4 linked regions of the Macaca fascicularis genome follow. The protein of the gene in region 1 interacts with the protein of each later gene in a pairwise test. Links are inferred from orthologs where the notes say so. Each region holds a gene or a part of one and is shown in the gene's direction. Other genes may lie near its edges.

Evidence for each region.
Region 2: the proteins of PSTPIP1 (region 1) and PTPN12 interact in binary tests that used the Homo sapiens proteins (3 or more experiments, as listed by UniProt). The link is inferred for Macaca fascicularis from reciprocal best matches to the Homo sapiens genes PSTPIP1 and PTPN12.
Region 3: the proteins of PSTPIP1 (region 1) and PCDHB14 interact in binary tests that used the Homo sapiens proteins (3 or more experiments, as listed by UniProt). The two-hybrid records come from large-scale screens. The link is inferred for Macaca fascicularis from reciprocal best matches to the Homo sapiens genes PSTPIP1 and PCDHB14.
Region 4: the proteins of PSTPIP1 (region 1) and CD2 interact in a two-hybrid assay, tested with the Homo sapiens proteins (2 studies listed by BioGRID and IntAct). The link is inferred for Macaca fascicularis from reciprocal best matches to the Homo sapiens genes PSTPIP1 and CD2.

What each region holds. Positions count from the first base shown.
Region 1 is NC_088381.1:54,335,742-54,340,195, forward strand, and holds the end of PSTPIP1 (proline-serine-threonine phosphatase-interacting protein 1), read left to right. Parts: intron 1-644; coding exon 645-700; intron 701-940; coding exon 941-1,074; intron 1,075-2,183; coding exon 2,184-2,315; 3' UTR 2,316-2,465; downstream 2,466-4,454. UniProt on the Homo sapiens protein: Involved in regulation of the actin cytoskeleton. May regulate WAS actin-bundling activity. Bridges the interaction between ABL1 and PTPN18 leading to ABL1 dephosphorylation.
Region 2 is NC_088377.1:143,832,942-143,837,467, reverse strand, and holds the end of PTPN12 (tyrosine-protein phosphatase non-receptor type 12), read left to right. Parts: intron 1-1,212; coding exon 1,213-1,320; intron 1,321-1,812; coding exon 1,813-1,874; 3' UTR 1,875-2,667; downstream 2,668-4,526. UniProt on the Homo sapiens protein: Dephosphorylates a range of proteins, and thereby regulates cellular signaling cascades. Dephosphorylates cellular tyrosine kinases, such as ERBB2 and PTK2B/PYK2, and thereby regulates signaling via ERBB2 and PTK2B/PYK2.
Region 3 is NC_088380.1:147,691,283-147,697,662, forward strand, and holds PCDHB14 (protocadherin beta-14), read left to right. Parts: upstream 1-2,335; 5' UTR 2,336-2,503; coding exon 2,504-4,900; 3' UTR 4,901-5,302; downstream 5,303-6,380. UniProt on the Homo sapiens protein: Potential calcium-dependent cell-adhesion protein. May be involved in the establishment and maintenance of specific neuronal connections in the brain.
Region 4 is NC_088375.1:117,643,035-117,649,397, reverse strand, and holds the start of CD2 (T-cell surface antigen CD2), read left to right. Parts: upstream 1-2,869; 5' UTR 2,870-2,932; coding exon 2,933-2,993; intron 2,994-3,131; coding exon 3,132-3,452; intron 3,453-6,363. UniProt on the Homo sapiens protein: CD2 interacts with lymphocyte function-associated antigen CD58 (LFA-3) and CD48/BCM1 to mediate adhesion between T-cells and other cell types. CD2 is implicated in the triggering of T-cells, the cytoplasmic domain is implicated in the signaling function.

The sequences.
Region 1 (4,454 bases):
TATTCAGTAAACCTTCACAACCCCAGCTCAGTCCAGGCCTAAGCCTGGCACGGGGCAGGGATAAAGTAGCCCAGCGCTATCCCAGAACTCCTGTGCACAGGGTGGCTGAGCTGGCCTGATCACTGCGGGCCCACAGGGAGGAGGGCTGGCTCGGCCCAGGCAGTGGAGGCCTCAGCAGGGCACGTGAGCCAGGCTTTGTGTGGCAGTGCACCCCCACCCCTACTGGCCGGGGAAGCTGCTAGGGCAAGCTAGAGCAGGGGTCTGGAGGGTAAGGACTGGGTGTCTTCCCACGAGGCCTCAGCATGGAGGTCCTAGAACCCCCAAAAGGGCCATGGGAGTCTTCCCATGAAGCTGCAGCTTTGGGGGTTCTAGGATCCCCCCAAAGGGCCCTGCAGGGAGCAGGTGCTGCAGAGGGCGCCAGTGGAGGGCACAGCTGGGGAAGGAGGAGCCACCGGGACCACCTTCTGGGGGCCCTCCTGCCTGAGGGGCACCTCATAAATCACATCCATGCCAGGAGGCTAGGGGCAGCCCCAGCCCTGGCAGAGCGTGTGCAGCTCTGAGACTTCTCCGTGTCTAAACCCTCCTCCCGGTGGCACCCTGAGTGTGGAGCGGGGGCACTCACCCTCTTTCCTCCCCATCCCCAGGTTCTCTGGACTGCTGCACGGAAGTCCCAAGACCACTTCGTTGGCAGCTTCTGCTGGTAAAGGGGGTCAGGAGGGGACTCCCGAACACACTGATCCAGGGGGGAAGGAAAGGTCTCCCACGTGGCACAGATGGGGCCACTGAGGCCCCTCAAGGGGAAAGGTGTGTCCCCCAAAAGCAAGTATGGAGAGCGGAAGGAAGAGGCAGGGCCCAGCATGGAGAAACCCTGTTCTAGCAGAACCTCCAGGGGCCAGTGTCCCCAGAAAGGGGAGGGGTCCATGCCTCACCCTGCTCTCAGCCTCCACAGAGACCCTGACCCCCACCCCTGAGCGGAATGAGGGTGTCTACGCAGCCATCGCAGTGCAGGAGATGCAGGGAAACCCAGCCTCACCAGCCCAGGAGTACCGGGCGCTCTACGACTATACAGCGCAGGTGAGGCCCCCACACCCTAAACCCACCTGTGCCACCTCCCCTGCACCTGAGCGCTCCCTCCCCCATTCAGTGCCTCGCATCCTCATCTCTCCTGGTGGTTTCACTCATCTTCGAGCATCCTCTCCTGCTCAGGAGGGCACATGTGCCCGAGAGTTATGTCCACACTAGCAAGGGCACCTGGGAGTGTGCTCGGGCATGAGCTCTGAGAACAGCACCCAGGGCCTGGGGGGCCTCAGCGTGCATGTACTGACTGGAAGCTGGTGTGCAGCAGGCCTGTGTCTGCCGGGGCCTGTACACAGCACACATGTGGGGCACATGGGCCTGTGCCGTCCACACAGGCTGGGCGCTGCGTGGTACACACGTGCGGGGAGCTGGCAGAGCCTGGGGTTGCCTGCAGGTCATAGCTTGAGGGCCAGGCTCTGCGCCTTTGGGTCAGGGCCCTGTCCTCTGTGGCCATGGGTGTGGAAAACTGTGGCCAGAATCAGTCTTGCAATCGTGCCAGGATTGATTTTCTGATGTGCATAGGGTGAGGATGTACCAAGGCAGCCACAGGGCAGCTATGAGAGAAGGTCCACTCTGCTCCCTGCTTGAGGGAAGGGGTGCATACCCAGGCCTCACATCCACTGGACTAAGGCTAAGCACCCCCCATGGCCAGGCAGGCTGGGTGTGGGCTCCACTGACAAGGCCAGGGCTCGGGGAGGTAGGGAAGCCAGGTCAGGAGAGTGACGGGGTACTTGGATGGCAGTTGCTACCTGGGGCTGGGGACCACAAAGGGGAGGCTGTTAGGTAAGCTTGGGCGTGTGTCCTGGGCTTGGGGTGTGATGCATACCCCTGGCCCCTGACATGCTCCAGTCACTGTGTCTCCAGAGTGGGAGAGGGGAGGTACGGGTGGGGAAGAAACCCAGGTTGGGGGAGGCCTATGATGACAAACTGGGGTGGATGGGAAGCCAGGTCCCTTGGGTTACCCCCATCCTGTGTCTCCAAGGGGCTGCCCCAGCAGGCAGGGACACAGCTCGGCATGCCGCATTTACTGCTGGGTGGGGGAACACCAGGCCACACCCCTCCCCGCAGGCCCTTCTAGCGTCATGTGCTTTCAATCTCTTGGCCAGAACCCGGATGAGCTGGACCTCTCCGCGGGAGACATCCTGGAGGTGATCCTGGAAGGGGAGGATGGCTGGTGGACCGTGGAGAGGAATGGGCAGCGTGGCTTCGTCCCTGGTTCCTACCTGGAGAAGCTTTGAAGAAGGGCCAGGAGCCCCCTCGGACCTGCCCTGCCAGTGGAGCCAGCAGTGCTCCCAGCACTGACCATGCCTTGCTGGGGCCCAGAACCAAGCGTCCCCAGCCCTGAGAGACATCCTGTCTCCCAGAGAATAAAGGAGTGCGTTCTGTTCTCCTTGGTGTGCTGGGGTCTTTCTCTCCTTCTCCTGCTCCAGGGTCTGAGTGCTCAGTTCAGAGGAGGTAAAGGAACAAGGGAAGGAGCCTGGACGGCGGAGCTCCCCAACTCAGCCAAGGCTTCCGCTATAGTTGGAGGAGAAGAGGCTTGGCCCCAGTTACTAGGAGCTCCCAGACCGCCAGGGAGACACATTCACACCTGGACAGAGGATACAGGGTTGCAGGAGGATGTGGCAGGGGCAAGAAGGGGTTCAGCAGGGCTGCAATGGGGAGAGCAGGCGTCTTGGGGACAGAGAGTTGAGCAGGTCCACAGCCGGGCAGCAAAGGCCAGAGCAGAGCAAGTGCGTGGGCAAAGGTGAGGTTGGGGGTACATCCAGGAATATTCTGAGGACTCAGTCTGGAAACAGGAAGCTAGTGATGGATCTGTTGGAGAGGCCATGGTGGAAGCCGAGGAAGGCAGGCTTGTGGCTTATGGGTGCCAAGTGGGGCCTGGGGAAGCCACTGTTGTCCGTGACACTCCTGTCAACATGGCAACCCTGGCAGAGCAGGGCTCCAGAGCCCAGGCAGAGAGGGCCACAGGGGGGCCTTCAGTCCTTTTCTCTTTTTGGTCCCAGGAACATAACTTCCACCACTAGCCAAGCCCTGCTCCAACCATGATAGGCTTCATCCATGCCAAAGACATTTGGGAGTGGGTGTGGGGGAGAGGGCCCCTGGCCCTCAGTCTTGGGGGTGGCCAAGTCGGCCCACCCCACACCCGCCTGGGATCCCCACCCCGCCTCGGAGGCAGGCAGGTGCAGGACTGTAAGGGGTGGGAGGGGGGACACAGTGGTCCTCCTCTGCTGGGACCATGCTGACGAGCTGCTGCAGGGCACTGCTGTTACCCGCGGACTGTCTTTATCTGGATTGCGAACTGCTCGGCCTCTCCTCATCCATACCCTTTGAGGACTGCTCTCTACGGACACAGCTCTGTGCCAGGCCTAGGGAGGGCCGGATTTGCCCTCAAATCAGAGGAGCAAAGCCTCAGTCTGCTCCATGCAAGGAACTCTTGACCCAGTAAGGGGACCACACGGCCCAGAAAGTTTAAGAACTTTACAGGAAATGTCCCAGTGCACAGAGATGTCACCAAGGTTTCTGGGAAGAGGTGGCCCTGAACACGCAAAGGAGATAGGGGGACTCCTTTCTGCTCCTTCCTGCCTCTGGTAGCTCCACCATGACAGGGAGGGGGACGGAGGGGGAGAGAGGGAGAGAGGGAGAGAGGGAGAGAGGGAGAGAGGGAGAGAGGGAGAGAGAGGGAGAGAGAGAGAGAGGGGGAGAGAGAGAGAGAGGGGGAGAGAGAGAGAGAGGGGGAGAGAGAGAGAGAGGGGGAGAGAGAGAGAGAGAGGAGAGAGAGAGAGAGAGAGAGAGAGAGAGAGAGAGAGAGAGAGAGAGAGAGAGAGAGAGAATTCCCCTGGAATTCCCCAGGACTGAGGACTAGATGAGACTCTCTTGGCACCTCCTGCACGATGCCTGCCCCGCCACCTCTGGGGAATGGGCATCCCAGTGGGCTTTAACATCTCTAGTGACAGGGAGCTCATCACTGTCATGAGGCTTCCCCACCAGTCCTGGCTCTGCCAGGCTGGCAGCCAGCTGGCATACAGAGGCTCTCCCACATGCCCAGGCTGTCAAATGCCACCATGGCAGAAATGAGGCTTTTCACCAAGCTCTGCTCTAAGAAGAGGGCAAGAAGGGGCTCGCAGAAGGGGACTGCTCTGGTGTTTCACACGAATGCCCATCTTTATACCCTGATCTTTACTTGAGCAAAAAATTGGATTCAGTTAAGCAAGCATGAGACATGAAGGCGGGGGAGGGAAAGCGCCCTTGGGTTGCCACCTCAGGTGCGTGGGCACCTCTCAAGTCTGCAGTGCAGTGAGAGGGCTGTTCTCCCACCAAAGTGTTATTCGTGCTGGGGCCAAGCAGACATGCAAAGGTACAGGCAGCGCCCAGGCTGC
Region 2 (4,526 bases), on another chromosome or scaffold:
ATGGGGATTGTCTGTTATTTTACTTGTATTCCAAGTTTCCAGAAAGGTTCCTCATGGAGGTATGGGGTATGTTCAAGACTGTGAAAGAATGAATGAATTATAGTAGTTAATTTCTTTTGTTACTAATGTTGAACATTGGTAATTAAAGAGTGAACTACAATCTAAACAACATAAAACTTTAAAAGTAGTTAGATCTGGCGTCGTGGCTCACACCTATAATCCCAGCACTTTGGGAGGCCAAGGCGGGCGATGACCTGAGGTCAGGAGTTTGAAACCAGCCTTGAGCAACATGGTTAAACCCCATCTCTACTTAAAATAAAAAAGTAGCTGGGCATCATGGCTGCCGCCTGTAATCCCAGTTACTAGGGAGATTGAGGCAGGAGAATCCCTTGAACCCAGGAGGCGGAGGTTGCAGTGAGCTGAGATTGCGCCATTGTACTCCAACCTGGGCAACAAGAGGGAAACTCTGTCTAAAAAAAAAGTTGCGTTGTTATTTCAGGTGGAAATATTTCATTAATTAACCTTGACCTTGTTGATTTCTTTTTTTTTTTTTTTTTTTTTTGAGATGGAGTCTCGCTCTGTCGCCTCGGCTGGAATGCAATGGCACGATCTTGGGTCACTGCAAGCTCTGCCTCCTGGGTTCACGCCATTCTTCTGCCTTGGCCTCCCGAATAGCTGGGACTACAGTCGCTCGCCACCATGCCCAGCTAACTTTTTTGTATTTTTTTAGTAGGGATGGGGTTTCACCGTGTTAGTCAGGATGGTCTCAATCTCCTGACCTCGTGATCCACCCGCCTCAACCTCCCAAAGTGCTGGGATTACAGGTGTGAGCCACCGCTCCTGGACTGACCTTGTTGATTTCCATACAAAGGCATTTCAGTTGCAATTATTCCCTTAGAACATAGGCATATAGTATAGCTACCTTAAGGGAATGTAATATGTCAAGACCTAGATTTAGGAAATAAAAATAATGAGAATCCTCACGTTGCAGAAGTACTCACTGCAGATTTCTGTGTGACCACAATAATACCTGACATGATTTTCTGTGCTCACTACGTTTGTATTTATACTGATCTTGACCTATAAAATTATGGTGCCCAGGAGAGAAAATTTTCTCTTTTCATGCTTGCCAACATTTAAAAAATTAAAGAGTTGTATATATACGATGCTACAAAGCATGGTGATTAACAAAGGTTTTGTGTTGCTATTTAGATCATCCAGCGGGAGGTATTCACTACGAGATGTGTACAGAATGTCCACCTACTTTCAGTGACAAGAGAGAACAAACATCAGAAAGTCCAACAGAAGCCACAGATATTGGTAATTTCTTTAATAAATAATTTTTAGTAAGTAGTTAACACTGGCAAGAATGAGAAAAGCTCATTTGCCATTGTGAAGTGACACTTGCCAAGAATAAAGTATATGATTTTCCAAAGTTGCTTGAACTAGTCATGAAATAAATGAAGCACTTAATTCTATTTCACATTGAGATTAAAAACTAAAATAGAAAACTGCAGTATATTAAAAAAATCTTTTGTGTTGGACAGACTAAATTATCTTGGATGTTTTTCTTACATTGTGATAAAATTGGTTTATTTTCAGCATAAGATTTTTAAAAGAAGCAATCATTTTCAGTTACCCCAGATAAATTTACAATCGTTTTGCATTTACAGAGTTTTGTTTGGCTTAAATTCTAAATTCCCTTGTGGAAATTTATTTGTTCCAGAAAATCAGAATGTCTGTGGACATGGTTTTTAGTAGTTTAAAAGTATTTCTGAACACTGACTAGTTACTGTGGTATTTTCACTGTAGGTTTTGGTAATCGATGTGGAAAACCCAAAGGACCCAGAGATCCACCTTCAGAATGGACATGATTCAGGGAGCTAAAAGACACTTTTAAGTTATACTGGAAAATTCAGGTGCCACTGAAAGCCAGATTTATAGTATTCCATCTTTAATATGTGGGACTAACAGCAGTGTAGATTGTTACTTTAATATTTTTTGCTGGGACCATCTACCTGCCTTATACTATACTTAGGAAAAAGTATTACATATGGTTTATTTTGAAACTTCAAGTATTATTGCCTTAACGTCTCTTAACCCTGTTACACGCTGCTTGTAGACATGTTAATATAGTAATACTTTTATGATATATTGAGTTTAAGGACTACTCTTTTTCTGTTTTATCATGTATGCATTATTTTGTATATGTACAGGGCAAGTAGGTATATAATTTGATAAAGTTGCAATCGAAATATTATTAACAGAAGATGTAAGAAATTTCTGCATGGTCTAAATCTTTGTGTACTTTATTTGTAAATTATTTGCCCTGGAGTTTTAGAAAATAGTTTCTGAATTTTAAACTTGCTGGATTCATGCAGCCAGCTTTGCAGGTTATCAGAGATCAAAGATTGTAATAATAATACATTTTGTAAATTGTAAGCAAAGTTATTTTTATATTATATACAGTCTAATTGTTCATCCTAATTGTTCTTGTTTTCATCTAGTCAGAGATTCAGTAAGTGCCTTGGAACAATATTGAATTCTCTTAGCTTGTGTGTGTTTCTTTAATATTTGAACTCAACTGGGATTAGAAGACTATCAAAATACATGTATGTTTCAGGATATTTGACCTGCCATTAAAAAAACAAACAATTTTACAGCGCCTACTTGTTGCCTTGGCTTTTCATTTTTCATTCCTAGGAAATTGGACTTAACTATCAGCCTTCTTGCTGGCTCAGTCTTGGTAGGAAATGAATGTGAATGGGGTTTAATCTCTTTTTTTTTTCTTTTTTTAGACAGTATCACTCTGTCACCCAGGCTGGAGTACAGTGGTGCCATCTCGGCTCACTGCAACCTCCACTTCCCAGGTTCAAGTGATTCTCCTGCCTCAGCCTCCCAAGTAGCTGGGATTACAGGCACCCGCCACCACGCCCAGCTAATTTTTATATTTTCAGTAGAGATGGTTTCACTGTGTTGGCCAGGCTGGTCTCAAACTCCTGAACTCAGGTGATCCGCCCACCTTGGCCTCCCAAAGTGCTGGGATTACAGGCATGAGTCACCATGCCAGGCCTAATCTCTTAATTAGGGAATAGCGAGTACCTTCTGCCAAAAACATGGCTGTGCCAATTCTAAATACTTATTGCCCCTAGGCATTCCTCATCCTTATCATTACTAGCCTACCAAAGTCCTAGTAGAAAGCCCAACAGAGGGGGCCAGATGGGGTGGCTCACGCCTGTTATTCCAGCTCTTTGGGAGGCCAAGGAGGGCAGATCACTTGAGGTCAGGAGTTCAAGACCAGCTTGGCCAACATGGTGAAACCCCTTCTCTACTAAAATTACAAAAAAATTAGCTGGGTGTGGTGGCACATATCTGGAATCCCAGCTACTAAAGAGGCTGAGGCAGGAGAATTGCTTGAACCTAGGAGATGGAGGTTGCAGTGAGCCAAGATTGCACCACGGCACTCTGGTCTGGGCAACAGAGCAAGACTACATCTCAAAAAAAAAAAAGAAAAGAAAAAGAAAACCAAACCAAGGGGATGTTGGGAACGAAAACTGGTTTCTTATCCCAAGACTGGAGCACAGATTCCATTCCTCAGTACTAAGTCTGAATTTTGACAACTGTAGATTGGAGTTGTTGGATGTCTGTATTTTCCCTCTGCATATGAAAGAATGAAGAAATTATGAAACTAAAGTACATGGAAAACCTTATATGAGTAGAAGGGGGATTATTGTGGAGGAGAAAGTAATACTACAATTTCTTGTTAAATTTGTTTTAAAGCTAACTCATCTTCATGTTGATCCCTTAGATTTCTTTTTTTTTTTGAGACGGAACTTTGCTCTTGTTGCCCACGCTGGAGTACGATGGTGTGATCTTGGCTCACTACAACCTCTGCCTCCTGGGTTCAAGCAATTCTCCTGCCTCAGCCTCCTTAGTAGCCGGGCTTCCAGGTGCCCACCACCAAGCCCAGCTAATTATTTTTGTATTTTTAGTAGAGATGGTGTTTTGCTATGTTGGCCAGGCTGATTTTGAACTCCTGACCTCAGGTGTACCCGCCTCAGCCTCCAAAAGTGCTGGGATTACAGGTGTGAGCCACCACGCCTGGCCAATCCGTTAGAATTTGAAAATATTCTGTATGCTTTGGTAATAAGGAAGTGGTAATACAGTGGATGCTTGACATTCTCAAGACACAGGCACTCCTGTAATAGATCTTTTCCTAATACAATGTAAACTGAAATAAAAGCATAACTGAAAAAAATTTTAGCCCCTTCACACACTTGATGAGTTATTGTAGAGTACTAAAATCATAAGGATTTTTGTGGTTGGGATGGAGTTTCTTGGAATACCTTCACTGAAGTATACATGTATTCAGAAGTAAGCAAAAATCATATTAATTGCCAGGCGCGGTGGCTCATGCCTGTAATCCCAGCACTTTGGGAGGCCAAGGTGGGCAGATCACCTGAGGTCAGGAGTTCGAGACCAGCCTCAACATGGAGAAACCCCGTCTCTACTAAAAATACAAAATT
Region 3 (6,380 bases), on another chromosome or scaffold:
ACTGCCACATCTGGGTCACTGCCACATCTGGGTTCTAGCTCGCTTGGAAGAAAGAGTCATTCAGATGACTTTTGTTCTATAACTGGAAGAGGCAGACAGAAATTCTGCTCACAATCCATCTGTGAGAACTTAATTCACTTGGCCACACTCAAATACAGGAGAGGCTGGGATGCACAATCTACCTTCATGGCCACATACCTGGGTACAGTTCTATTACTATAGAAGCAAGGGAAAACAGATTTTGTCAGACATCTATCAGAATCCTCCACAATGACCATCTTTTTAAGTCCAATGGATAATTGTCATGCTTATTTTTCTTGACTTTTCTGAGGCATTTGCAGCTGTCGATCTTCCTCGTCTCCTTAAAATGCTATTTGCTTTTGATTTCATGGTTTTGAACTCTGAGCCTTCTTTATCTTTTCAGATATGCTTCTTGCCCTGTCTCCTCTAAATGAAGATGTTTCTCAGACTTCTGTGCCAAGCCTCTTCTATACTTATTTGACACACTTCTGCTTGGTTATCCTAGAGCATTCATGGTTTCAATCACCATATATATATATACACATATATACTGATGAATCCCAAAGTTCATATCGTCAGCCCAGGTTTATTTCCTATGCTTTGGTTATAGGCAAACACACACACACACACACACATACACACACACACCACAAACACACAAACACACATCCTACAGGCGCTTACCTCAATATCAGCATGTTCAAAACTGACACTTCATCTTTTTGCACCCCAATCATGTTTTTTTAGCATTCCCTGTCCTAGCAAATGACACCACTAGTCATCGAGTTTCCCAGTCCGGAGGTGTGATATCATCTCTGAGTCTTTCCCCTTTTTCTCCCCATGCAACCTATCAACCAACAGTTGAAAATATTTCATCTCCTCATACCTTTCTACTCATCCCTCTTCTCTGTATCCGCACTGGCATTATCCTCTTCCAGACTACCATCATCTCTTATCTGATCTCCTTGATTCTCCAGTCATTCCCCCTGAAATTAATTCTCCATACTTCAGCCAAACTGATTTTTTAAATGCAGATGTGATCATGTTAATCAGACATTTAAAACCCATCTTTGTACTTGAATTACATTTAGGATAAATGCAAGAACGCATGATATGACCTGTATAATGATTCACATTCTCACCCTGCTTTCAACCCTAATTTCATTATTAGACCCTCCCTTTCCACAGTTTTTAAAGTCCAAGGCATACTTCACTTCTCTGTGTTCCTCAAAATGCCCATCTGAAATATTCCTCCTTCTCCTGGCTAGTTCCTTCAGATCACAATGTATTATTCATTACGTCAGGAAAGCTTTCACTGATGTCCCAAGTCCTATTTAGATCTTAATTATTTTATTTTTGACAGACACTTAACCAGCACTTACAAACCACTTGGTAAATATTAATTCACTAGATGCCTATGATAATAATCATGGGAGGCAAATATTATTATTACCCCATTTTACAGGTGAGGAAACAAAGATATCTATAACTTGCCCAAGCTTATAGTGAGTTACATAACCAGGATTCTAATATTGATAATTTGGTTCCAGATCCCATATTCCTAAGCACTAAAGTATGCAGCCCATAGGTACAAGAAGCCCTTTCTAGATATTTCTATATTACTTTTTACAAATGCATACATTATGACATACTTCATTTACTTGTCTGCCAATTTTTCTAGCTTGTGAGCTCCATAAGAGCAAGGATTATCTCTAGCTTATTTGTGCCATGTCCTTCTTTGTATTTTCAAAATATGAAAGTGAAAAAAGTAATGACATTACTATGATTGACAACAAGTATTTACAAGAGTGAAAGAGAGAATATATTTGTAATTACTCAAGAAATGACTTAAATAAAAAATTATTTCTTCAGTTCAGAATATTTTAACAGATCCTTTAGTGTCGAGCATTCAAAACAGTGATAATGCAGTGTATAGACATTTTCTGGATTCAAATTCAAACAAACCATCAGCAAAGGACGTTTTGGAGAGAACTGGGGAAAACCAAATGCAGGATAAATTACATCGAGGAATTATTGCTCAAGTTGTTGATTGTGAACGTTATGTTGCAATTATCTTTTAGAATGCCTTATCTATTAGAAATACTTAGTAAAGTATTTAAAGGTAAAAAAAAAATGTTGTCTGGGATTTGTTTTGAATGTTCCGGATGTATTTATGATTTACTTTTTCAAAGAGGAAAACTTTTTAATGAAAAAAAAAAGAAAAAGAAAAAAAAGAAAAGCATAGAGACACATGGTGGCGCTACAGGATAAGACGAAAACTGTACATAGGCTGGCACAGTGAGCTTCGCTATTCAGAACAGAAAGCATCCAACCCACTGAAAAGACAGGCATTAAAGGAGCTTTGCCTACAGAGCTGCTGGAGGATACACTGTCCAGGGGGTTCCTATTAAAAACCAGAGCTTCAGCTTCCAAAATTAGGGCTGAGCTTCAATTTTTCCACAAGAGGTTGCCTAAAGGAACCATGGAGATCAGAGGGTCACTCGATCTACGAAAAAGGCAAGTTCTAATATTCCTTGTTTTGCTGGGATTGTCTCGGGCAGATACTGAATCTGCACACTATTCTGTGGCAGAGGAAACAGAAATTGGCTCATTTGTGGCTAATCTAGCGAGGGACCTAGGGCTGGGGGTGGAGGAGCTGTCTTCACGTGAAGCCCGGGTAGTGTCTGATGATAATAAAAAGTATTTGCACCTTGATTTGCTGACTGGGGATTTGCTCCTAAATGAGAAACTAGACCGAGATGAGCTGTGTGGCTCCACCGAGCCCTGTGTGCTGCATTTTCAGGTGGTTTTGGAAAACCCTTTACAGTTTTTTCGGGTTGAGCTGCATGTCAAAGACATAAATGATCACTCCCCTACATTCCTAGACAAGGAAATACTTATTAAAATATCAGAAGGTACCACTATTGGAACTACATTCCTAATGGAGAGTGCTCAAGATTTGGATGTCGGAAGCAACAGTCTCCAAAACTACACAATTAGCCCCAATTCTCACTTCCACATTAAAATTCCAGACAGTAGTGACAGAAAGATATACCCAGAGCTGGTCCTAGATAGAGCTTTAGATTATGAACAGGAAGCTGAACTCAGATTAACACTCACAGCACTGGATGGTGGATCCCCGCCCAAGTCTGGGACAACTTTGGTTCTCATTAAGGTGTTGGACATCAATGATAATGCCCCTGAGTTTCCTCAGAGTCTCTATGAGGTGCAAGTCCCCGAGGATAGACCCATTGGCTCCTGGATTGTCACCATCTCAGCTAAGGATCTGGATGCAGGAAACTATGGGAAAATATCTTACACATTTTTCCATGCATCAGAAGATATTCGTAAAACATTTGAAATTAATCCAATATCTGGGGAAGTTAATTTGAGATCACCCCTGGATTTTGAAGTGATACAGTCCTACACTATAAATATTCAGGCAACAGATGGTGGGGGTCTTTCAGGAAAATGCACCCTTCTAGTTAAAGTTATGGATATAAACGACAATCCACCAGAAGTGACCATATCATCGATTACAAAGAGAATTCCAGAGAATGCCTCAGAGACTCTAGTAGCTCTTTTTAGTGTAGTAGACCAAGACTCTGGAGACAATGGGAGGATGATTTGCTCTATTCAAGATAACCTCCCCTTTTTCCTGAAACCGACCTTCAAGAACTTTTTCACTCTAGTTTCTGAAAAAGCACTGGACAGAGAGAGCCAAGCAGAGTACAACATCACGATCACCGTCACAGACTTGGGGACCCCCAGGCTGAAAACCGAGTACAACATAACCGTGCTGGTCTCCGACGTCAATGACAACGCTCCCGCCTTCACCAGAACCTCCTACACCCTGTTCGTCCGCGAGAACAACAGCCCCGCCCTGCACATCGGCAGCGTCAGCGCCACAGACAGAGACTCAGGCACCAACGCCCTGGTCACCTACTCGCTGCTGCCGTCCCAGGACCCGCACCTGCCCCTCTCCTCCCTGGTCTCCATCAACACAGACAACGGCCACCTGTTCGCCCTCCGCTCGCTGGACTACGAGGCCTTGCAGGAGTTCGAGTTCCGCGTGGGCGCCACAGACCGCGGCTCCCCGGCGCTGAGCAGCGAGGCGCTGGTGCGCGTGCTGGTGCTGGATGCCAACGACAACTCGCCTTTCGTGCTGTACCCTCTGCAGAACGGCTCCGCTCCCTGCACCGAGCTGGTGCCCCGGACGGCCGAGCCGGGCTACCTGGTGACCAAGGTGGTGGCGGTGGACGGCGACTCGGGCCAGAACGCCTGGCTGTCGTACCAGCTACTCAAGGCCACGGAGCCCGGGCTGTTCGGTGTGTGGGCGCACAATGGCGAGGTGCGCACCGCCAGGCTGCTGAGCGAACGTGAGGCGGCCAGGCATAGGCTGGTGGTGCTGGTCAAGGACAATGGCGAGCCTCCGCGCTCGGCCACCGCCACGCTGCACGTGCTACTGGTGGACGGCTTCTCGCAGCCCTACCTGCCTCTCCCTGAGGCGGTCCCCGCCCAGGCCCAGGCCGACTCGCTCACCGTCTACCTGGTAGTGGCATTGGCCTCAGTGTCGTCGCTGTTCCTCTTGTCGGTGCTCCTGTTCGTGGCGGTGCGGCTGTTCAGGAGGAGCAGAGCTGCCTCGGTGGGTCGCTGCTCGGTGCCCAAGGGCCCCTTTCCAGGACATCTGGTGGACGTGAGCGGCACCGGGACCCTATCCCAGAGCTACCAGTACGAGGTGTGTCTGACAGGAGGTTACGGGACAAATGAGTTCAAATTTCTGAAGCCGATTATCCCCAATTTTCAAGTTCATGACACTGGTAAGAATATGGGGGAAATTGAGAACTTTCGAAATAGCTTTGGATTTAACATAGAATAAAACAATTTATTTTAAATTTCTAATTTTTAGTTATTTTTTGCAAGCTGATGGTACTTTTTGCATAATCTTTTGTGGATTTTTGGTTGTATTGTAGTTGCATGCATGATTATAGCTCTTGTTTTTCTCACAGTTTCTTTAAAAATCTTTATTAGTGGCTATAATGACATGGAAATGTAATCTGTGTTTTCTGGTTTTTCATTTATTTGGTCAAAATGTTATATTAATGGAGTTATTGCTATTTTTGCTGTGATAATGGTATCGTTATGTAAGACAATGTTCTCAATTATTTGGAGATGCAAACTAAAGTATTAAGAGCTAATGTCATTATATATGTAACTTAAATCTAGACACCATCAAAACATAAAGTAAAAATAAAAAGTGTTGCTGAATCTGGGTCGAAAATATAGTGCATTTATCACACTATTCTCTCTGAAAATGTTCTTTAAAAAGGATAAAAAAGATGCTATCCCTCCATTTTCAGTTCTGGAGAACCTTATAAGTTTTTCAAATATTTACTTTATGATGAAACTTAAGTGGTCACATTGGAAATTATTAATTTCTTAAGTAATTTTTTCTGTAACTACTTTTGTTGATAATCCTGTTGTGGAGGAAGAGTCTTATAATGCTCTGGGCTTTGCTGTCACTCTTTAGTTTTCTTAATTTAATTTTATTTATTTATGTTTTTTGAGACAGGGTCTCATTCCATTGCCCTGGCTGGAATGCAGTGGCACTGTCATGGCTCACTGCAGCCTTGACTTCCTGGGTTCAGGTGATTCTCCTGCCTCAGACTCCTGAGTAGCTGGGACCAGTGGCACAGGCGACCATAGCCCGGCTAATTCTTTTGTAATTTTTTTGTACAGACGGAATATTGCCATGTTTTCCAGTCTGGTCTGGAACTCCTTGGCTCAAGAGATCTGCCCACCTTAGCTAGTCTTTTGTCTTTGTTTTTTGAGATAAAGTCTCACTTTGTTGCCCAGGCTAGAGTGTAGTGGCAGGACCTTGGCTCACTGCAGCCTTGACATCCTGGGCTCAAGAAATCCTCCTGCTTCAGCCTACTAAATAGCTCGAACTACAGGCACCCGCCATGACGCCCAGCTAAATTTTTGTATATGTGGTAGAGATGGAGTTTTGCCATGTGGCCCAGGCTAGTCTGGAACTCCTGAACTCAAGTGATCCACCTGCTTTGGCCTCCCAAAGTGCTAGGATTACAGGCATGAGCCATTACGCCCAGCCTAGTTTTCTTTAAATACACCCTATTTACTAGCTTAAATCTTGTATTGTTTATTTCTAAAGCAGAAAATAATTTAGGGTCTTATCCTGGGTAAAATAGCCTTCCATCAGATGAGTACAAAGCAAGAACTTCGTAAGAAATTGAAATGAAGATTCAAACTGTTAGTGAATTTGAAATATTTGAATTGGAAGAGACAAAATAAATCTAGGTAAAAAATATTCATATCATATTAGTTTGGGTTTGGATTTC
Region 4 (6,363 bases), on another chromosome or scaffold:
CCCAATTCATTATGCCAAAAGGAAAAAATAAACTGAAAGTTGAGTCACGCAAGAAACTGCCTTCCCTTGAGTTCCTAAGCAGACAACTACAGACAAAAAGCTGCTGTCTCCAGGGGTAGCTACTCTATGTTCACCTTATCTTATGAAAGTGCCAATTTACTGAGCATGAGAAGAATACACAATTGACCATTCCCCTACCTGCTTCTTTTCTCTTGCAACATATGGATTCAGTAATGTGACCGTGTCCTCCCTCCTTCCCCTCTGACCGGCTTTTCCCCTTTAAATACTGAAGCCTTCAAAACCATGTTGAGAAAAAGGCACAAACCACAGATTGTTCCTGTGGTTCTGTGTTCCTTTTTGTCCTTAATGTTGATGAAATAAACTTCTAAATTGATTGAGACCTATCTCAAGTATTTTTTTGGTTTACAAAGGTAAGAAGTGAAGATTTCATTTCGGTTCTCTCGCAGTCTAATACCTGAAAGACAAGCACTGTAAAAAAATTCACCATCAGCCCTTTCAGGCTTTTTTCTCACACATACCTTAAGAACAACAGAGTATGATACAGTATACTGGTATACCCGTAGCATAGTATAAACACAGTATCATATATAAAAAGGACTAATCCTATAGATATTGTTTTGCAATTTACTCTTTTCATGTGATTTTCCAAAAGCATCTTTCCATGTCTTACTTTTAGGCCTATGTTATACTATTTTGATGCTTATGCAATATTTCATAATATGAATATACTATAATTTTACTGGTTTGCAATTTTTTATTACAAAAATGATACAACAAACGTCCTTGAACAGCATTTTAAAACATCCGTGCTTTCATATGTGTGGGATAGATGTCTGAAGTTAAAATCACTCGGTGAAAAAAAGACAAATTTTAAAGTTTGGTGGAAATGAAATTCCTTTCCCCAGAAGGTGTTGATTTATATTCCCTCTGATGTTGTATGAAGGTTCATTTCTCCACACATTCATGTTAATAATGTAAATTATCATTTTTCCTAATTTTGCCAATCTGATGGTGAAAAATGGTATTTTATAGCTAAGATATATGCATATAATTCTGGTGACATTGGACTCCTCTTGCGGGTTTGATATTTCTTCTGTGAACTACTTCTTCTGTAAGCTGATCATTTATATCCTTTGCCCATTTTAAAAACTATTTTGTATTGATTGATAAGAATTATTTCTATGTTTTGAATATTAATAATTTTATACATATCGCAAGTATTTTGTCATGCCTTTTCATTTTGTTCCTTATTTCTTCATCTGCACATAAATCTTACTTCTTTACATCATCAATTGTGTTCATCCTTTCCTTCTTACTTTGGATTATGTGTTATATGTAGATAGGCCTTCCATACTCAAGCTATAAGAATATCTTTCTGTATTGTCCTTTTAGCATTTTAATTAATTAATTATTTTATTTTATTTTATTTTTTTTGAGACAGAGTCTCACTCTGCCGCCCAGGCTGGAGTGCAGTGACACCATCCTGGCTCATTGCAACCTCTGCTTCCCAGGTTCAAGCACTTCGCCTGCCTCAGCCTCCTGAGTAGCTGGAATTACAGGCACACGTCACCATGCCTGGCTAATTTTTGTAGTTTTAGTAGAGATGGGGTTTCACCACGTTGGCCAGGTTGGTCTTGAACTCCTGACCTAAGGTGAGGAGGTCCGCCTCGGCCTCCCAGAGTGCTGGGATTATAGCTGTGAGCCGCCACGCCCGGCCTCCTTTTAGCATTATTGTAGTATTTTTGCATTTAAAATTTTAATTCAACTGTTGTGCATTATTGTGGAAGATGCTCATACAACCATGAGGTAAATATTTGGGCTTCCTTTTACCCAGTAATAGCAAACAACTGCTTTGACTTAATTTCATTTCCTTGGCAACTTTCTGACAGATAATATCCATATTTGTACTTAGAGTTGAAAAAGAAAACAAGCACCTCTTTTACAGTTTTTACTCACTGTGACCTAAAGAATTGTAACGCTGAAAATGTGCTTTGGAAGTCTGTCATGGTTATTCCTCTTTTTAGGCATCTTTTCAGGGCACATGCATCTCTGCATCATTGTCTCTTTCCTTGTGTCACAAATTTCTGTTCTCTTTTTCTCTCCCTCATTTCTTTTTCTCCTAATCTCTCCTTTTTCTTAACCACCTATAATGTTAATCACTTTAAATGCTTTTGACTCCTTTGTTTTGGTGGTTTAATTGTATTTCATAGTCTCCATGCTTCTTTGTTTTGGAACAAGTTTCTATTTACCTAACTGTGAATTTCACTAGGGTTGTAAAATGTACCCCGAACATAGGATTTGGGGATTGCAAGCATTTACAGCTGATACTTAATTTCTTTCTTTTCATCACAAAAACGATTTTAGAACATGAAAAATATCTTTGGAGAAACAAAAAAATCAATTTCCTAATCATTTTATGGGCATACTTTTCAATATTTATAATCATATAGGATAAATATTTGCATTCTGCTAATGGCTTGGCTTGTGAACATTTACCTATATTTCTCTGTGGTCTTGTTAGGGACAGTATACCTAAGTGGATAAAAGGCTGGGAGGTTGAATTTGGCTTCTTGTTTACAAAAGACTGATCCTTATTCATCTACTTAGCCTCTATGTTCCTTTTCTCTTTCACTGAGATGAGAAAATCCATCCATCCCAATTTTTTGTGAGGATTAAAATGCGGTAAGAAAACACACACTCATAAACACATCTGCTTTGGTAAAGGAGCACATCAGAAGGGCTGGCTTGTGCGCGCTCTCGCTCTCTGTGTATGTGTGCTGTGTTTTATGTTACTGTAAAAGATGTAAAGAGAGGCACGTGGTTAAGTTCTCGGGGTGTGGACTCCACCAGTCTCACTTCAGTTCCTTTTGCATGAAGAGCTCAGAATCAAAAGAGGAAACTAACTCCTAAGATGAGCCTTCCATGTAAAATTGTAACCAGCTTCCTTCTAATTTTCAACGTTTCTTCCAAAGGTAAGTTGGTGGATGGGTCTCCACTGTCACGGTTAGAAGCTTCTTCTTCGGAGACCCTGAAGTAAGCATAAGAGCCAAAGAAGTCCCAACCCAACTTTCCCTGGAGGTGACTCTCAGTAACTCTTTTGCTTTTTCTAGGTGCAGTCTCCAAAGAGATTAGGAATGCTTTTGAAACCTGGGGAGCGCTGGGTCAGGACATCGACTTGGACATTCCTAGTTTTCAAATGAGTGATGATATTGATGATATAAAATGGGAAAAAACTTCAGACAAGAAAAAGATTGCACAATTCAGAAAAGAGAAGGAGACTTTCGAGGAAAAAGATGCATATAAGCTATTTAAAAACGGAACTCTGAAAATTAAGCATCTGAAGATCCATGATCAGGATAGCTACAAGGTATCAATATACGATACAAAAGGAAAAAATGTGTTGGAAAAAACATTTGATTTGAAGATTCAAGGTAAGTGTTCATTCCCTTAATTGCTTTATTTCAGTGTGGGTGCTATTTGGCAAGTTGGAAAATAGCATTTATAATATTCCCCAACGCTGACCTCTGCCTCCAGGGGGGCTGTACAGGAAATCAGATGCATGTCTCCTGCGCCAGTGGAGACTGTGGTCCAATGATGGAATGGGATCCACACATCTGATAGACACATCTGAAGTCTACCTGCCTACAACTCTCTCTTCAGGTGGTTACAGGAATGTGAGGCTGGGTGAAGAACCTGGATTAAGGTGGCATTAATCAGGAGAGGGACACAGGTGGGCAGAGAGAAAAGGCAACTGTTCCAGGTTGCTGATGAATGGGCAAGTTAAGAGTGGGGCGGGAAAAGGCTGACTGGAGAGCAGCGGGCCTTTCATCGACAGAGCCCATTTCAAGCCAGGCTGCCCTGAAGGAGGAGTTATATGGCAGAAAAGGCCTGGAAACAACATATTTAAAGATGAACAGCCCTTGTTTTGGATCTGCTTGTCAGAGCGATTCAAGGTGATAGGTGATTTTTGCTAATATGTGTAGAAGATGCACAAGGTGTGGCTTTATTTATCTCTACCTGTACTGGGAGGGCAGGAGTGGATATTGAGGATGGGGTTAGGGAGACTAGTCAGAAAGCTGCTGCTGTGATCCAAGGGAAGTGAGGACCAATTAAATCAGATGTTTTTGCATGCAGCCTGGGTATCATTAGGTTATAAAGCTCCCTGGGGGATTATAATGAGCAGCCAAAGTCAGTCACCACTGGCCGAGACCAAAGGGTGCCTGTAAAATGGGAAGAATGAGGATAATAAAGGTCAGGCATAGAGAAAGGTGGCTTGGGCAAGGGAGAGAAGGAAGAGAAAGTGGAATCGAAATGCCATTGAAGTTGAAAGCCCAGGGGATGCTGGGGAGGGAGTCATAAGAAGGAAAAAGAAGAAGCTGCGCTTGACTTGGGGAGGCAGACAGGAACCCCAGCATGAGCACAGGCCAGCCATTCAGTGAGCAAATAAGCATTTCTGTGCTTCACACAGAAAATGTCGCCAGAAGCAGGGTCCCCTCCTTCTTCCTCTCTGTCTCCAGCCCCGTCTTCAGCACCTGGGCCTACCAGCAATCCCAGATAGTGTCAGATTGCCCAGTCCAGCAATCCCAGACACTGTCAGCTCCCCTGCAGTGACAACTTTCCACACCCTAGTCCTGCAACCCTGAGTGGGAGCACCTTGTAGAAATGTAGCGGGGTTGAGCATGGCGCTCAAAAGGGCCCCTGATTATGGGCTCTGGAAACCACAGATCTCAGGACTCCAAACAGCACAAAATTTGAGTGTCCTGTTTTGAGTGTGAGCCCTACGCGGGAGACCATGCTGGTGTTTTCACATTTGGGTCGCATTTAGCATTGCGGTGGAAATAGTGGCTACCAGCTAGGGGTCAGGTGCTTGCTTACATGATCTTACTTAAAGCTCCCAACAATACTGAGACATAGCTGTTATTATCTCCTTGTTATATGTAAGAAAACAGAGACCTAGTCAGAAGCAGCTTGTCCAAGGTCTCATTGCTTGACAGGAGCAAAGTCAGGATTCAAACTCAGAGGTCTTTTTGGCAAGGATGATGACCTTTTCTCTTTTTTTCCAAGCAGCTTCATTGAGATAACTCACCTAGCATTCAATTTGTCCATATACTAAAATGGCCTTTAGTATATTCAGAGTTTTGTAACCATCACCACAATCAACATTTTCATTGCCCCCAAAAGAAACCCTTCACCCTTTAGCCTAAAGACAGCGACTTGCTTTGTGTGTGTGCACGCCAATGTCATACAACATCTTGATTCAACTTGTAGTTGGGCACTATTACCAGACTTGAGGTCACCATGGCCTTGGGCAAATTCCCTATCTGCTCTGAGTCTGATTTTTGAATGACAACTTCAAGGGATATTCAATGAGACAATGTGTGTACAAGTGCCCTGCAGTGCCTAGGGCACAATACCTGTTTGCTCAGTGCTAATGCCCTCCCACATCTCTTTGTTTCTCCAAGCTTCTCTTTGTTGTTTTTTGTGTGTGTGTGTAAGATGGAGTCTTGCTCTGTTGCCCAGGCTGGAGTGCACCAGCATGATCTCTGCTCACTGCAGCCTCTGCCTCCCAGGTTCAAGTGATTCTCCTGCCTCATCCTCCCAAGTCGCTGGGATTACAGGCGTGTACTACCACGTCCAGCTAATTTTTGTATTTTTTTTTTTGCGGGGGGGGGGGGCGGGGACGGAGTCTGGCTCAGTCGCCCAGGCTGGAGTGCAGTGGCGCGATCTTGGCTCACTCAAAGCTCCGCCTCCCGGGTTCACACCATTCTCCTGCCTCAGCCTCCCAAGTAGCTGGGACTACAGGCGCCACCACCACGCCCGGCTAGTTTTTTGCATTTTTAGTAGAGACGGGGTTTCACTGTGTTAGAGATGCCATGTTGGTCAGGCTGGTCTCAAACTCCTGACCTCAGAGGATCTGCTTGCATCAGCCTCCCAAAGTGCTGGCATTACAGGTGTGAACCACGGCACCCAGCCTCCAAACTTCTCAAACTCCAGTAGTTGTGCCTGCATTTCCTTCATGAGGGAGTTGCTGCTGCAGGCTGAAGAGGCAGTGGAGGGCTCCTTAGAAACATATGCTGGTAGGGAAGGGGTTAATCCCAGCAACTCAGAACTAAGGAGTTCTCAACCATGGAAGGCCTTAGGTTGGATCGGTTCTAAGATGCTATCTTAGTGAATGTATACGGAGGTACCACTCCACAACTCCCGTCACTGCGTTGTTCATGTTAGCGAAATGCTAGAACAGTCAGCAGTCAGAAATTTATTAATCAATTAAATTAAGAATGCATCCTTTAAAAAGATGGAGATATGCATTTATTGATGTTCATTTAAAAAAGAATGTCATAA